Linked DNA regions of Anolis sagrei. The protein of the gene in region 1 interacts with the protein of each later gene in a biochemical or structural test. Links are inferred from orthologs where the notes say so. Each region holds a gene or a part of one and is shown in the gene's direction. Other genes may lie near its edges. The genes, in order: TMPO and LMNB1.

Region 1 (7,348 bases):
TTCATTGTGGTCTACTGGAAGCTTTTCCAATTTCCCTAGAAAATTGGACTTCCGAGGTCGGACGGGTTTTTGAAAAAAAAAGGGGGGGGAATAAGGTGGAACTACAAAATGGAAGTTGGGGAAGTTACCAGTACTCATGGGATAGGGGGCAGTATGGGGTTAGGGAGGGGCTTGGCAAGGGTGGCAGGTGGTGATTGGATGTTTGGGTGGCAGGGGATGATTGGATGTTTATTAAACTGCACCACAACTTTGAACCAATGATTTTGTTCCGGGGCGGTCCTAAACCGAACCCCTTTGACTGTATAAAAAGGCCACATGGCTTGAGGCCTGTATCGTTTCCACCAGGCGCCATGTTGCGTAGGAGGCGACCCAGGCAGCTGCTTGACTTCTAAGTAAACTGCTTTCTTGAAAGAACCTGACTGCCTGTCTTGTTGTTCCTGCGCCCGCCGATTTGCAGCCTAGGAAAAAGATCATCCACTTCACTGTGATAATGCGGCATGTCTCATTAAGAGCCACATCCACTGTTTTAATGTGGTGAGATGTTTTCCACACTGGCATGCATATTCATCAGCAGAGTAGCAAAGCGCAAGGGCAGATGTCTTCACTCTGTCTGGTTGTGATCCACAGGTTGTGTCAGTCAGCTTTCATATAATATTATTTCTCTCACCCACTTTTTTTATAGCCAATCAGTGCTTCTTGTAGGTTAGAGCACAGTCCAGAGTGACTCCCAGGTATTTTGGTGTGCTGCAATGCTCCAGTGGGATTCCTTCCCAGGTAATCCTCAGGGCTCGAGATGCTTGTCTGTTCTTAAGGTGAAAAGCACACGTCTGCATTTTAGATGGATAAGGAATCAGCTGGTTTTCCCAATAATAGGCAGTAAGAGCACTTAAAGCAGTGTTTTTCAACCTGGGGGTTGCCAAAGACTATCAGAAAACAGTCCAGTACTGTTTCAGTAGTGCAGCGTTTCTCAACCTGAAGGTCAGGACCCCTGGGGGGGTTGTGAGGAGGTTTCAGAGGGGTTGCAAGACACCATCAGAAAACATATATTTCTTTTTTTTTTTTTTTAAAAAAGCTTTTTATTGAATTATATCATAGGTAAGTAAAGAATGGAACATCAAAAGTGAGAACAATTTTTGGATAGAAAAGCTTAGAAAAAGAGAGAAATTGGTAAAGAGAATGATTAAAGAAGGAAAAAAAGAAAATAAAGTAAGAAAAAAGGTTACATAAATGGTTTGACTTCCTTCTATTCTTCGGTGGCTGTAGAATTGTAATAGTTAGCCTTCCGAACGGGCAAAATGCAAAATCAGTCTAAGCATCCCTGTAATTTTTAATCTTCTTGTGAGTATTATTTTAGTCATATTAAGTCAATATTTAATTGCTTAAAGTAGTTTTTAACCAGGCCCCAGTTTATTTGTTTGTTTGGAAGTCCTTGGTTGGGAGTAATCCAGTAAGTAAACTTGTCCATGTTCATTACCTCCAAAACTTTCTTCAACCAGTCCTCTTTTTTAGGAAGAAAACATATATTTCTGATGGTCTTAGAAACCCCTTTGGCAGAGAAGGCTGAAGATCTCTCCGCCTGTCCTTTTCTTCCTTTCTAGAAAAAGCCGGGGAATCCTTCCACCAAAAGCCCTCTCCTGTGATTGACTGGCCTCTCAGCCAAGGGGAGGGCTGTTTCTGAGACTACAAGCAGGGGAGGGGAAAGCAGGCGTTCTCAGCACATGGCAGCGTGGTGTGCACTGTGGATGAGGGAGAGCGTTCGAGGCTGGAGGGAGGCTTGCACCAGCAAGTCTCTTCAAGGCATGGGAGTTCTGTGGAGGAAGTTTGTCCCAATTCTATCGTTGGTGGAGTTCAGAATGCTCTTTGATTGTAGGTGAACTATAAAACCCAGCAACTACAACTCCCAAATGTCTCTTTTCCCCATCTCCGCTAGTGTTCACATTTTGGCATATTGAGTATTTGTGCCAAGTTCGGTCCAGGTCTAGCATTGTTTGAGTCCACAGTGCTCTCTGGATGTAGGTGAACTACAATTCCAAAACTCAAGGTCAATGCCCACCAAATCCTTCCAATATTTTCTGTTGGTCATAGGAGTTCTGTGTGCCAAGATTGTTTCATTCCATTGTTGGTGGAGTTCAGAATGCTCTTTGATTGTAGGTTAATTATAAATCCCAGCAATTGCAACTCCCAACTGACAAAATCAAACCCCACCAGTTTTCAAATATGGGCATACTGGGTATTTGTGTCAAACTTGGTTCAGTGAATGAAAATACATTCTGCATAACAGATATTTACATTACAATTCATAACAGTAGCAAAAGTAGTTATGAAGTTGCAACTAAAATGATGTTGTGGTTGTGGGTCACCACAACAAGATGAACTGTATTAAGGGGTTGCATCTTAATGAACCTCTTGAGTGGTCAATATTTTCAAAAAGAGAAGTAGATAATCTCAATTTAGTCATAGCACATGTATATTTTGTTGAGATAAATCTATTAGGAAGGTCGAGAAACACTGGAGCAGGCAGAGTATGCATCCCATCTGAAATCCTGTGGTTGCCTCCCTTAGAATTCTGTTATGAAGTAGCAATGACAATAATTTTATGGTTGGGGATCACCACAACATGAGGAACTCTATTAAGGGGTCGTGGCATTAGGAAGGTTGAGAAACACTGACCTAAAACTTCAGAGAGCTTCTGTTCAACCATTAGCCTAAAGGTAATTTTATACATTATGCAGATGACACCACTTTGATAGCCGAAAGCGAGAAGGAGCCGAGGAGCCTTCTAATCAAGGTGAAAGAAGAAAGTGCAAAAGCTGGGTTGCAGTTAAACATAAAAAAACCCAAGATGATGGCAACAAGAATGATTGACAACTGGGAAATAGAGGAAGAAAATGTGGAGGCAGTGACAGACTTTGTATTTCTAGGTGCAAAGATTACTGCAGACGCAGACTGCAGCCAGGAAATCAGGAGACACTTACTTCTTGGGAGGAGAGCAATGTCCAATCTTGATAAAATAGTGAAGAGTAGTGACATCACATTGGCAACAAAGATCTGCATAGTTAAAACCATGGTATTCCCCGTAGTAAGCTACGGATGTGAGAGCTGGACCATAAGGAAGGCTGAGCAAAGGAAGATAGATGCTTTTGAACTGTGGTGTTGGAGAAAAGTTCTGAGAGTGCCTTAGACTGCGAGAAGCTCCAACCAGTCCATACTTCAAGAAATAAAGCCTGACTGCTCATTGGAGGGAAGAATAGTAGAGGCCAAGATGAAGTACTTTGGCCACATCATGAGAAGGAAGGAAAGCTTAGAGAAGACAATGAAGCTGGGGAAAATGGAAGGAAAAAGGAAGAGGGGCCGACCAAGGGCAAGATGGATGGATAGTATCCTTGAAGTGACTGGATTGACCTTGAAGGAGCTGGGGGTGGTGACAGCCAACAGGGAGCTCTGGCATGGGCTGGTCCATGAAGTCATGAATAGTCGGAAACGACTGAACAAATGAATTTTATACATATTTTAAATAATTTTGTGCATGAAACAATTCTTGTGTTCACTGAACCATAAGAAAGCAGAAGTGTCAGCCATCCATGTAGACGGAGTACGGATAAAGGCTGCTCAATTTGTTAGGTTAGCTTTGGTTAAGTTAGGTTAGCTTTGGTTAGGTTAGCGTAGCTTTGGTTATGTTTTAGGTTAGCTTTGGTTAGCTTAGCTTGGGTTAGGTCTGGTTAGCTTAGCTTTGGTTAGGTTTGTGTTCACTGAACCATCAGAAAGCAGAAGTGTCAGCCATCCATGTAGACGGAGTACGGATAAAGGCTGCTCAACTTGTATCTGGGTTGATTTCCCTCTCAGAAGTGCGCATTAGGCGAAGTGGATAATATCCACGGGAGTTTTTCACATAACACGTGTGCGTTTTGTCTCTTCCATAGCGCGCTTTTGTTTTGTTATTGTCCTTTGTGGCGAGAGATTAATTGCGCTTAAAAACCCTCTTTTAACATCAATGAAAAAGGGTCCTCCCCGGCCGAGCACCCACTCCCGCTTTGGAGCCTTGAGGGAGGCTGTTGTGGTGGTGGTGGTGGTGGTTGCCCGGGGCGCCTCTTCCTCTCCCGCCTGAGTCGAATTTAAAACTGCGTGACCAGAGCTCGCGCAAGGTACGGATTGATTGTGACGCGGCCCAGTGCGCGCGCGCGCACACACAAACAAGGCGAGCGGCTCTCCTCTCGGCGACGCAACCAATCCCAGGGCCGCTTCTCGCGCGCGGCAGCCAATCGCGGCGCACGTTATTGGCGGGCAGGCGAAGCCGTCCGTTGTGTGTTCTGTGTGAGCGTTAGGCGAGGGGGGCCGACCCTTCGCGAGGTTTCCTTTCTCTCCTTCCGCCCCTCCTCTCTTCCTGTCTCTCCCTCCCTCCCTCCCTGGGTGCACTCTTTGTTGGCGGGCCCTTCTCTCTCCGAGCCTGACGATGCCCGAGTTCCTGAGCGACCCGTCGGTGCTCACCAAGGAGAAGCTCAAGAGCGAGCTGATCGCCAACAACGTGAGTCTCCCCGGCGGAGAGCAGCGCAAGGACGTCTATGTGCAGCTCTACCTCCAGCACCTCACCGCCCGCAACGCCCCGGGGCCCCCCGCTCAGCCAGACTTCTCCAGCGACGAGGAGCGGGAGCGCGCCCCGGCCGCCAGGAACAGAGGAGGAGGAGGAGGGGGCGCGGCTGCAGCCTCCGCAGGCCGGGTAAGAAGCGACCCCCACCTCCCGCTTTCCCCGGAGCCCCCCTTCCTTCCCCAAGCGCTGAGGGGGCGGCGGAGTTTTCCCGCTTTTCTCACAGAGGGGGCGGCGCCATGTTTGGTCACTTGAGGGGAAGGCAAGGGAAGAGGAAGGGCCTCCCTCAGCCTCACTCGGGAGGCACCGTTTAATGCCTTTCAAACTCCCACAAAAGCGCGCGGAAGAAAAGCCCTTCGTGTGCCTCTGCGGTTTGGGATATTGCAGACATGGGCCAACTTGGGGTGTTTTGTACTCCAACTCCCACCATTCCTAACAGCCTCAGGCCCCTTCCTTTCCCCCCTCAGCCGCTTTGGAATGTTGAGGCTGGCCAATCAGAAGCCACACACAAATTAGTAGGTCGAGATAGCTCATACTTGGGCCCTCCCTTCAGGTGTTTTGGACTTCCATTCCCATCATTCCTAACAGCCTCAGGCCCCTTCTTTTTCTCCCTCAGCCGGACTTCCACTCCCATCATTCCTAACAGCCTCACGCCCCTTCTTTTTTCCCCTAAGCCGGACTTCCACTCCCATCATTCCTAACAGCCTCACGCCCCTTCTTTTCCCCCCTCAGCCGCTTAAGCGACTGAGGGGGAAAAAGAAGGGGCCTGAGGCTGTTAGGAATGATGGGAATGGAAGTCCAAAACACCTGGAGGGAAGGCCCAAGTTGGCCCATGCCTGATCTGCATCAGGGCCTCAAGTTGGTCCCAGGGTTTCCACCTGTGCACACAGAAGCCACTTTCTTCAATAAGTGTTTGAAGCAGCATTAAACGGTCAATGAAGATGGTGGGTCCTCCACTCGCTGCCTGCCTCCTCCTCCTCCTCTTACAGGCGTGTCCACAAGTCCCGCTCAGAAACGTTGAACTTGGTGGGCGTCCTGCCAGCCAGCGTCAGGCAGTTTCACTTCTGCAAATCTGCAGGAAGGCGTGCTGCCCTTGGCCTTCTGCCCGAGCGATAGTCTCGCCAGCCTCAGGAGACCTCCCGAGTAAATCTACTTCCAACTCCCACAATTCCAGCCAAAGTTTGTCCATGCCTGATCCACACTATAGAGCAGGCATGGGCAAACTTCAGTCCTCCAGGTGTTTTGCACTGAAACTCCCACAAATTCCTAAAAGCTTACCTACCGGCTGTTAAGAATTTGTGGGAGTTGAAGTCCAAAACACCCGGAGCACCAAAGTTTGCCCATGCCTGCTTTAGAGTGGCTCAGTGTTATGAAAACAGTAGGTTTGTAGTCTTCTCAGGCCAAGAATGTAGGCACCTCACCAAATGGCAACTCCCAGGATTCCATAGCAGTTAAAGTGGTCTCAAATTGCATTTTTTCTGCAGTGTGATGCACTCCTTATTTGTCAGGAGTGGGGATTGCTTCCAAGTACCCTGTTATTGTACTGTGAGTAATTCTGGAGGCCAGACTTTGTCTCCTCTGCTTTATAAACCCACCAGGTGACCTTAAGCGAATCACACACTCTCAGCCCTAGGAAATCCTTTGGCCCTCCGCCTGGGAGACAGGCTCGCCTTGGATCCTTGCGCTGCTGGGGAAAGCCTGTCAGGAGGCGGCTCGCGTTGCGGATCTGAAACACCAAGTGCATCAACACCAGGCATGGGCACACTTTAACCCTCCAGGTGTTTTGGACTTCCAACTCCCACAATTCCAGCCAAAGTTTGCCCATGCCTGATCAGTACTAGGGCATGCTTGCTGTAGAGTGGCTCAATGTTATGAAATAATGGAGATTGTAGTTTTACAATAGCTTTATCTTTCTCAGCCCAAGAGTGGGGACCTCACCAAACGGCAACTCCCAGGATTCCATAGCAGTTAAAGTGCTCTCAATTTTTTCTGCAGTGTGATGCATTCCCTGTTAGGCAGGAGTGGAGATTGCTTCCAGTACCTTGCTGTAGTGCTGTGAGCAACTCTGGAAGCCAGTTTCGACTGCCTGCGCCTTTTTAGAAACCCACTGAGTGACCTTGAGCAAGTCACACACTCACAGCCCTAGGAATAATTGGGAAGTGATTGAGGATGCACAACAACATACCTACTTCTTTCAAGCTCCTCTTTTGCTGTTCTCTCTATGGGTGCATAAATGGCATCCTGTCTCTATATAACTCCTTTAAAACACGCTTAAATTATGTTTCAATCCATCTGAAGGAGCCCCCAGTGGTTTTGGCCTTCAACTCCCAGAAACCACAGCTGGTTTACCAGCTGTTAGGATTTCTGGGAGTTGGAGGCCAAAACATCTGGGGACCCACAGGTTGAGAACCACTGGGTTAAAACCTTGTGCTGGCAGGACTGTTGACCAATAGGTCAGCAGTTCGAATCCAGAGAGAGCAGGTTGAGCTCCCTTTATCAGCTCCAGCTCCCCATGCTGAGTGATGCCTCCCGCAAGGATGATAAAACACCAAATATTCAGGCGTCCCCTGGGCAACGTCCTTGCAGATGCCCAATTCTCTCACACCAGAAGCGTCTTGCTGTTTCTCAAGTCGTTCCTGGCATGAAAAAAATCAATTTGAAATACTTCTAAATTTAAAAGGCACAATATGGTTTTCAGTTTTCTTTGGTATACTGTTTTTATTGTTGCTGCAAGGTACATTATTTTGATTTACTTTGAGTAAATGA
Region 2 (7,294 bases), on another chromosome or scaffold:
CATTGAGGTGAGTTGGGCAAAGTGGATCTGTGGAACCCTCCGCTACAGGTCAACATGGTTCAAATCAGTTGTTTTGGCTGGGAGGGGGGCTCTTTTGGGCTCGATGAGAATGGTACTCCGAGGAAAGAAAGAACTGGAGAAAAGGTAGATAGAAGCTTATTGAGGTAGATGCTTGATGGGAATCTGCAGGTTTATTGAGATATGGATCAAAACAAGTATGAAGAAAATATGAAGTATCTAAAAATAGTGTCTTTATGAGAATAGCATGGAAAATGTGCATTATGAAAATGTTGTTCCTTTATTTGTGTTGCACCTTTGTACACACACACTTTATGTAGTTTCTCTTTCCTTTCTAATCCCCCCAATTCTGTTAAGTAGATTTGTTGAGAGAGATATCTGACAGTTGCATAGTCAATTCCATGACAAAGAGATTTTAATATGGGTTTACCTCATCCAAGTCCAATAATTTAAGCATTACTGGCTCTCTCTGGTCAGTCTTAACTATAAGAAATTGTATGAACTGTGAAGTATAGTGTGTGAGAGAAAAACCCAATTTTAATAGGCTTGATTTAGAATGCAAATTAATTTGCATGATGTTCCAATTAAGTGCTCAGATTTAAGAAAGTGGAAATATGACATCTGTGTTAGTTTATTTTGCAAAACAATGTATGAGCTAGCAAATTTTTTACTTGAAAACATTTTTTTCTTATTACCTTTGACCAGTAAAATTACTAGGCGGAATTGTGAAGGGATGCCCCCCCCCCCCCAAAAATGTTGGCCATTTGTTTACTTTAGGAAGATGTTCTTCAAAACATAGCACACAAATAATGCATGGTAGTTGGAGTTTTACAAGATCTTTAGCCTTCTCTGGAAAGTGTTAGTGCCTCGTCAAGTCCCAAGTCCCATGATTCCATAGCATTGAACCATGGCAATTAAAGTGGTGTCAAACTGCATTCATTCTACCATGTAAATGCACCCTCTCCTACTGCTGGATTGATTCAGTCTAGAAAATCTCTGCTACAAATTAATCCACTGAAGGTCTCTTAATTTATAGGGTTACTGTTAAGTCAACTGTTAAGTAGCAAGGGGACTTGATAGAATTTGGAGCACCTATCTGTGTCTGACAGGAAGCAGCAAGTATAATGTCAGATTGAGAAAGTGGGATTTGCCTTGAGGTTTCTTGTAGTCAGCAGGCAGGAAGTAAGCAGTAAAGGGTTAACCCCTCCTTCAGTAGAAGATAGGATAAACAGGGAACTTGAAACCCTTTCTGGAGAGAAAGGCACTCCCTAGTACAGGGCTTTAGCATGAAGTAAAGCTGCCAACAATTACTTTTGCACAAAAGAATTTCCTGTATTTTTACTATTTAAGCATTCTTTTTCAATAAAGAATGTACTGTATTTTTTGCTACTTTAGCAGGAATGAGAACAAATACTAAGGATCAAACAAGCAAAAGATACACTTTTCTGTCCAGTTCATGGTTGAGGACTGAGGGTCATGGCCTGCAGCAAAGGCCTTTGCTGTTGAGGTGCAATTAGTTCTGGTAGCAAGCTTTCCTTGACCAAGCCACCAGAGGCTGGGCTGCACATTTGCCATTTGCCCCATCTAGATTGAGCGTTTAATGTATTTTGAAGCCAGTTTCAAACTGCGGTAGCCAGACAACAAACTTCCACAAAAACACACAAAAGAAAGCCCATCAAAAGCAACTGTTCTGTGCTTTATGTAATCACCACCCAGGCCTCAAACTGGTTCCAGAAGTTCCTGTGTAATCAGCACAGCAAAACCACTATCTTTGAAACTGCATCAAATGGTCAGAGTAGATGTGGCCATTGACTGCAAACCTTTTAGCACTTTCCCTGACTAAGAATATGATTGAACTCAGGAGGTTATACTATTCCATACTATTTATGTTGCCATGGCAGGTAAAGGGCCCTTCCATACAGCTCTATATCCCAAAATATCTTGGGAGAAAAACCGACATTATCTGAGTGTGAGTGAACTCAGGGCCCTTCCACACAGCCATATAACCCAGAACATCAGGGCAGAAAATCTCACAATATCTGCTTATCTGAGTTCACACTACATATATTCCAGTTCAAAGCAAAAAGTGTGGGATTTTATTCAGTTGTGTGGAAGGAGCCTCAGATAACCCAGTTCAAAACAGATATTGTGGGATTTTCTGCCTCCATATTCTGGGATATAGGGCTGTGTGGAAGGGCCCAAAGTGGCATAATATCACGAGTGTCGTGACAGGTCCCTCAGTCTATAAGGGCTTAGGCTACAACTTATTTCCCTCAGGTCCCTTCCACTGAATAAAATCCCACATTATATGCTTTGAACCAGGATATATAGCAGTGTGGACTCAGATAATCCAGTTCAAAGCAGATATTGTGGAATTTTCTGCCTTGACATTCTGAGATATAGATCTGTGTGGAAGGCTCCCCAATTAATCTCAAATATTTTTTTCATGCAAGATCACAGCACAGAGGCTAAGAACCAACTAGTCCCTTTTCTCCAGCCCATTTTTCCTAGGGTGCATCTATACCAGGTCTCAGGCCCGTAGCCAGGATTTTGTTTCAGGGTGGGGGGCTGAGTTTGGTTCGAGGGGGGGGGTTGAGTCTGAGTGAAAGAGGGTATACCCTAGCAAACCTTTTGTATCATTACCCCAATACCCCCATGCATATGGGATATATTGAGCATGGTGATCAGATGATATGAATAAACGTAACAGTTTAAATAATGTACCAGTAAGGCCTTCTTGTGGACCACCATCAGAATTTCGGGGGGCGGGGCTGAAGCCCCCAAGCCCCCCCTCCCCCGGCTACATGCCTGCCAGGCCTGGAACACCTACAATTCCTAACATCCAGTACAATGAGTTTATCTGCTGTGGCTCAGTTGATTGTGATTGATTCTGGAATTTGTAGTTTGGTGAGGGACCAGCACTTTTTGACACAGAAGGCTAAAGACTTTTGAAAACTCCAGTATGGTTGTAGCCTAGCTTACTTGTCCAAATGTATCTCTCCCTACCTCCCACCTCGAAACTTACGATCTTCCGGGGCGTCCCTGCTCTCGATCCCACCTTCGTCGCAAATGCGCTTGGTGGGGACAAGGGGCAGGGCCTTCTCAGCAGTCTCCCCCCCCCCCCCCCCCCCCGCCTGTGGAACTTGCTCCCCAGCGAAATTAGGTCAACCACTTCCCTCCTTTCCTTCAGGAAAAAGTTGAAGACTTGGCTATGGGACCAGGCATTCGGATAGCAGGCTGACAATACAAATGATGATAATGCTATGGAAAAAGGACTATGGACAGGCATCTGATTAAGTTGTTGATCGTAGAAAGCGGACTTGACATGCCAACTAATTCAATGTCTACTATCTTAAATGGTTTTTAATCGAATTTTAATGTTTTAACTTATTATGTAACTGTTGTTTATTTGTTGTATATGTGGGGCATTGAATTGTTGCCGGCTGTAAGCCGCCCTGAGTCCCCCTTCCAGGGTAGAGAAGGGCGGGGCACAAATATCTGAAATAAATAAATAAACTCCCAGGATTGGACAGCACTAAGGTTCAAAGCAAATATTGTGGATCATCTGCCTTGATATTCTGGGTTATATATATGGTTATGTGGAAGGGCCCTGAGTTACAGCAGTTAAACTGGTGTCAAAATGCCATAATTCCAGTGTAGAATAAATAGGGTAGCCTGGAGGAGCTCAGCCAGGCAGTGCCCATTCAAACAAACAAACAAACAAAAAAGACAAGTGAAAGAAAGAAAAGCAAGAGGGCAGCTGTTCTTTCCACCGCCTCAGAAAGGCCAAGAAGCAACCCCTTCCTCGTCCTCCTCCCGCCTTCAAACATCTGAGGAGAAAGAAGCCAAGAGGAAGGGAAGGGGGGGGGGGGGGAGACGACGGTTAAAGCTCGTGCTCGTGCGCGCTCACGCGGGCTGAGGAAAGGGCCGGGTCGCTTAGGTGGGAGGAGGGGAGGGGGGAAGAGAAAGGGAGAGAGCGAGCGCGCGCGCGCCACAATCCTTCGCTGACAGTTGCAAACGGCGGGTTTTGAATTTAGCGTCGAGACCTCCCTCGAGAGCGAGGCCGAAGGCGCTTCGCCCTCCCATTGGCTGAAGCGCGGTCACGTGAGCGTGGGCGAACGTAAGGCCGACGAGAAGGGGGACGGCTTGCTGGCTTGGAGCGCGCGGTGGCGGCGGCCATATTGGTTCCTCGCGGAGCCCGCCTGTTTTGTGTCCCTTGCAGAAGGCCCTTCAGGAGGAGGAGGAGGAGCGGGAGGCGGCCGCCGCTGCTGCTGTCGTCGTCGTCGTCGCCAGGCTCGGGGGAGTAAACCCGCGCCTTCCACCTGCGAGCTCGGCTTCTCTCTTTGCTCCCCCTTTCCTTCCTTCCTTCTTTCTTTCTCGGGCTTCTTTTGTAACCCCGTCTGGGTCCTTTTTGCTCCTCCCTCTTATTCTTCCCCTTTCTTTTCCCGCCTTCTCTGCGTGTCCATTCATAGATCACCAGCCCTCCTTTTGTTTCCCTTCGGCGTTGATTTCGTGCCCCCTCCATTTGTGTTCCTTTTCCTTCTGGCTGTGCCTGAGCCGAGAAGGGCTTTCTTGTATTTTCTCCCATTGGTTTTGGCTCCTCCCTCCTATTCTTCCCCTTCGTTTCCCGCCTTCTCTGTGGAGTTTTTTTGCCCATTCATTGAGCCTACTCCAATTAGCTCCCTTCAGCATTGATTAGCGTTCTCCTCGTCTTCTTTTTCCATTTCTAGCTCCTGTGCTTTATTGGGGTTTTGTTTTTCTTTCAAACCGGGGGTTTTTGTAACGGGAAGGCTTTGTGGGCTGCCGCTCTTAACCCCTTCCGGCCCGGGCTTTGTCTTTTCCTCCTCCTCTCGCCTGCCTGCCTTGCTTTTCCCGCCATGGCGGCGATGGCGATGGCCTCGACGCCGGTGGGGCAGCGGACCCGGAGCAGCGCGGCCAGCACCCCCTTGAGCCCCACGCGCATCTCCCGCCTCCAGGAGAAAGAGGAGCTGCGCGAGCTCAACGACCGCCTGGCCGTCTACATTGACAAGGTGCGGAGCCTGGAGCTGGAGAACAGCGCGCTCCACCTCCAGGTCACCGAGCGCGAGGAGGTGCGCGGGCGGGAGCTCACCGGCCTCAAGTCCCTCTACGAGGCCGAGCTGGCCGACGCCCGCCGCGCCTTGGACGACACGGCCCGCGAGAGGGCCAAGCTCCAGATCGAGCTGGGCAAGGTCCGCGCCGAGCACGACCAGCTCCTCGGAAGGTGAGGGCAGCAAGGGATTGGGCCCAGTTGGACAAGGGGTTGGCCCTGCCTTTTGCACACCCCTGAAGGGGAAGGGGCACCTTGGGACGGGGGAGGGGGGGAGAGCATGGCAGGAACATGTGACACTAGACCCCCCCTTTTCCCATTGCAAGTTTGGCCCGCCTCCCTCTTGCTAACCCACCCCCTAAAAGGGGGAAGGGGTCCTGGGAGGAACTTGTGACCCCCCCCCCCCAAGAATTACCACACCTTTTCCCTACAACAGATTTCGACCCCCTGTTGGCATCCCTCTTGCAAAGCCACTTGGAGGTGGGGAGGGGGTAATGGCAGGAACATGTGACACGGGACTCCCTCTTTTCCCATTACAGGGTTGCCCCTCATGTTCACCTCTCTCTTGTAAATCCACTCGCCTAAGAGTGGGAGGGGATATTTGGAAAGGAGGGTCGTGGCAGGAACCTGTGACCCTGCCCTCTTCCACACAGCTGAATAAAACCCCACATTTTCTGCTTTAAACTGGAATATAAGGCAGTATGGACTCCAGTAACTCAGTTCAAAGCAGATATTGTGGGATTTTCTGCCTTGATGTCCAGGGTTATATGGCTGCGTAGAAGAGCCCCACAGAGCTCCCCCAGGGCCCTTCCACAAAGCCATATAACCCAGAATATCAAGGCAGAAAATCCCACAATATCTGCTTTGAAATGAGGCCCCCTTCCACACATTTGTATTAAATCCACATTGAACTGGATTATATGGCAGCATGGGCTCTAAAATAACCTAGTTCAAAGCAGATATTATGGATTGTCTGCTTTGATATTCTGGGTTATATGTCTGTGTGGAAGGGCTCTGGGTTATCTGAGTCCACACTGCTATATATTTTAGGCCCCTTCCACACTGCAGATTAAATTCCCACATTTTCTGCTTTGAACTGGAATATATGGCAGTGTGAACTCAGATAACTGGGGACACAGCCTTATATCCCAGAATATCAAGGCAGAAAATCCCACATTATCTGAGTGTGGACTCAGGTAACCCAGTTCAAAGCAGATATTGTAGGATTTTCTACCTTAATGTTCTGGGTAATACGTGTGTGGAAGGGGCCCCAGTTCAAAGCAGATAATGTGGGATTTTCTACCTTAATGTTCTGGGTAATATGTGTGTGGAAGGGGCCCCAGTTCAAAGCAGATAATGTGGGATTTAATTCAGCTGTGTGGAAGGGGCCCCAGTTCTCCTAGTACACTTTTGACCCATCTGGTCCACCTCTCTTGCAAAGCAACTTGCCTAAATGGGGAAGGGGCACCCTGGAAGGCATATAAGGAGGTGCACCCCCTCCCCCTTGCTCTTCTGTTCTTTAGATAAGTAACTCCTTATTGTGGGTATGCCACTATTAACTGATAAAGTTGCATTTACCATGGGGCGGGTTTGATTATTAATATGCTTTAATTCCAAAGACAGAGCTCTGTTAGTCTGAAATATCAGTGTCCTGTAGCAATTTAGACACTAGCACATGCTTTCTTAAGAGTGCAGCTACATTGTGGAACTGATGCAGTTTGACACCCCTTTAATTTCCACCACTCAATGCTATAGAAAGTTATGGCACCAGCACCCTTTTCCCATGATTTCATAGCATTGAGCCGTGGTGGTGAAAGTGGTGTTTACCTGCATTAATTCTGCAGTGTAGTTGCACCCTGGGCCTTACTACGCTTTGATTCCAAAGACCTATCTTGGAATATCATTATCTTGTGCCACCTTGGACACTTACTAAGAGAAAAGAGTTGGTAGCACAACTTGCTTAGAGTAATTCTACTTTATCAGACACATGAAGCAACATATCTAGGAACAGACATAGAAGCAGCCTGTGAATATCCATAGTACAGTTGACCCTCCATATCCACAGATTCACCCATCCATGCTTTGAAAATGTTCACCAAAGCAAACTTCATTTTGCCACTGGATTTTGTAGATGCAGGGGTCCTGGAACCAAACTCTAACACATACCAAGGACTCACTGTAAAGCAAGTCTGTTCTGACATCAACATT

What was found.
Region 2: the proteins of TMPO (region 1) and LMNB1 form a complex in vitro, tested with the Homo sapiens proteins (2 studies listed by BioGRID). The link is inferred for Anolis sagrei from reciprocal best matches to the Homo sapiens genes TMPO and LMNB1.

The regions. Positions count from the first base shown.
Region 1 is NC_090025.1:156,776,581-156,783,928, forward strand, and holds the start of TMPO (thymopoietin), read left to right. Parts: upstream 1-4,265; 5' UTR 4,266-4,450; coding exon 4,451-4,714; intron 4,715-7,348. UniProt on the Homo sapiens protein: May help direct the assembly of the nuclear lamina and thereby help maintain the structural organization of the nuclear envelope. Possible receptor for attachment of lamin filaments to the inner nuclear membrane.
Region 2 is NC_090022.1:237,883,676-237,890,969, reverse strand, and holds the start of LMNB1 (lamin-B1), read left to right. Parts: upstream 1-4,145; 5' UTR 4,146-4,895; coding exon 4,896-5,260; intron 5,261-7,294. UniProt on the Homo sapiens protein: Lamins are intermediate filament proteins that assemble into a filamentous meshwork, and which constitute the major components of the nuclear lamina, a fibrous layer on the nucleoplasmic side of the inner nuclear membrane.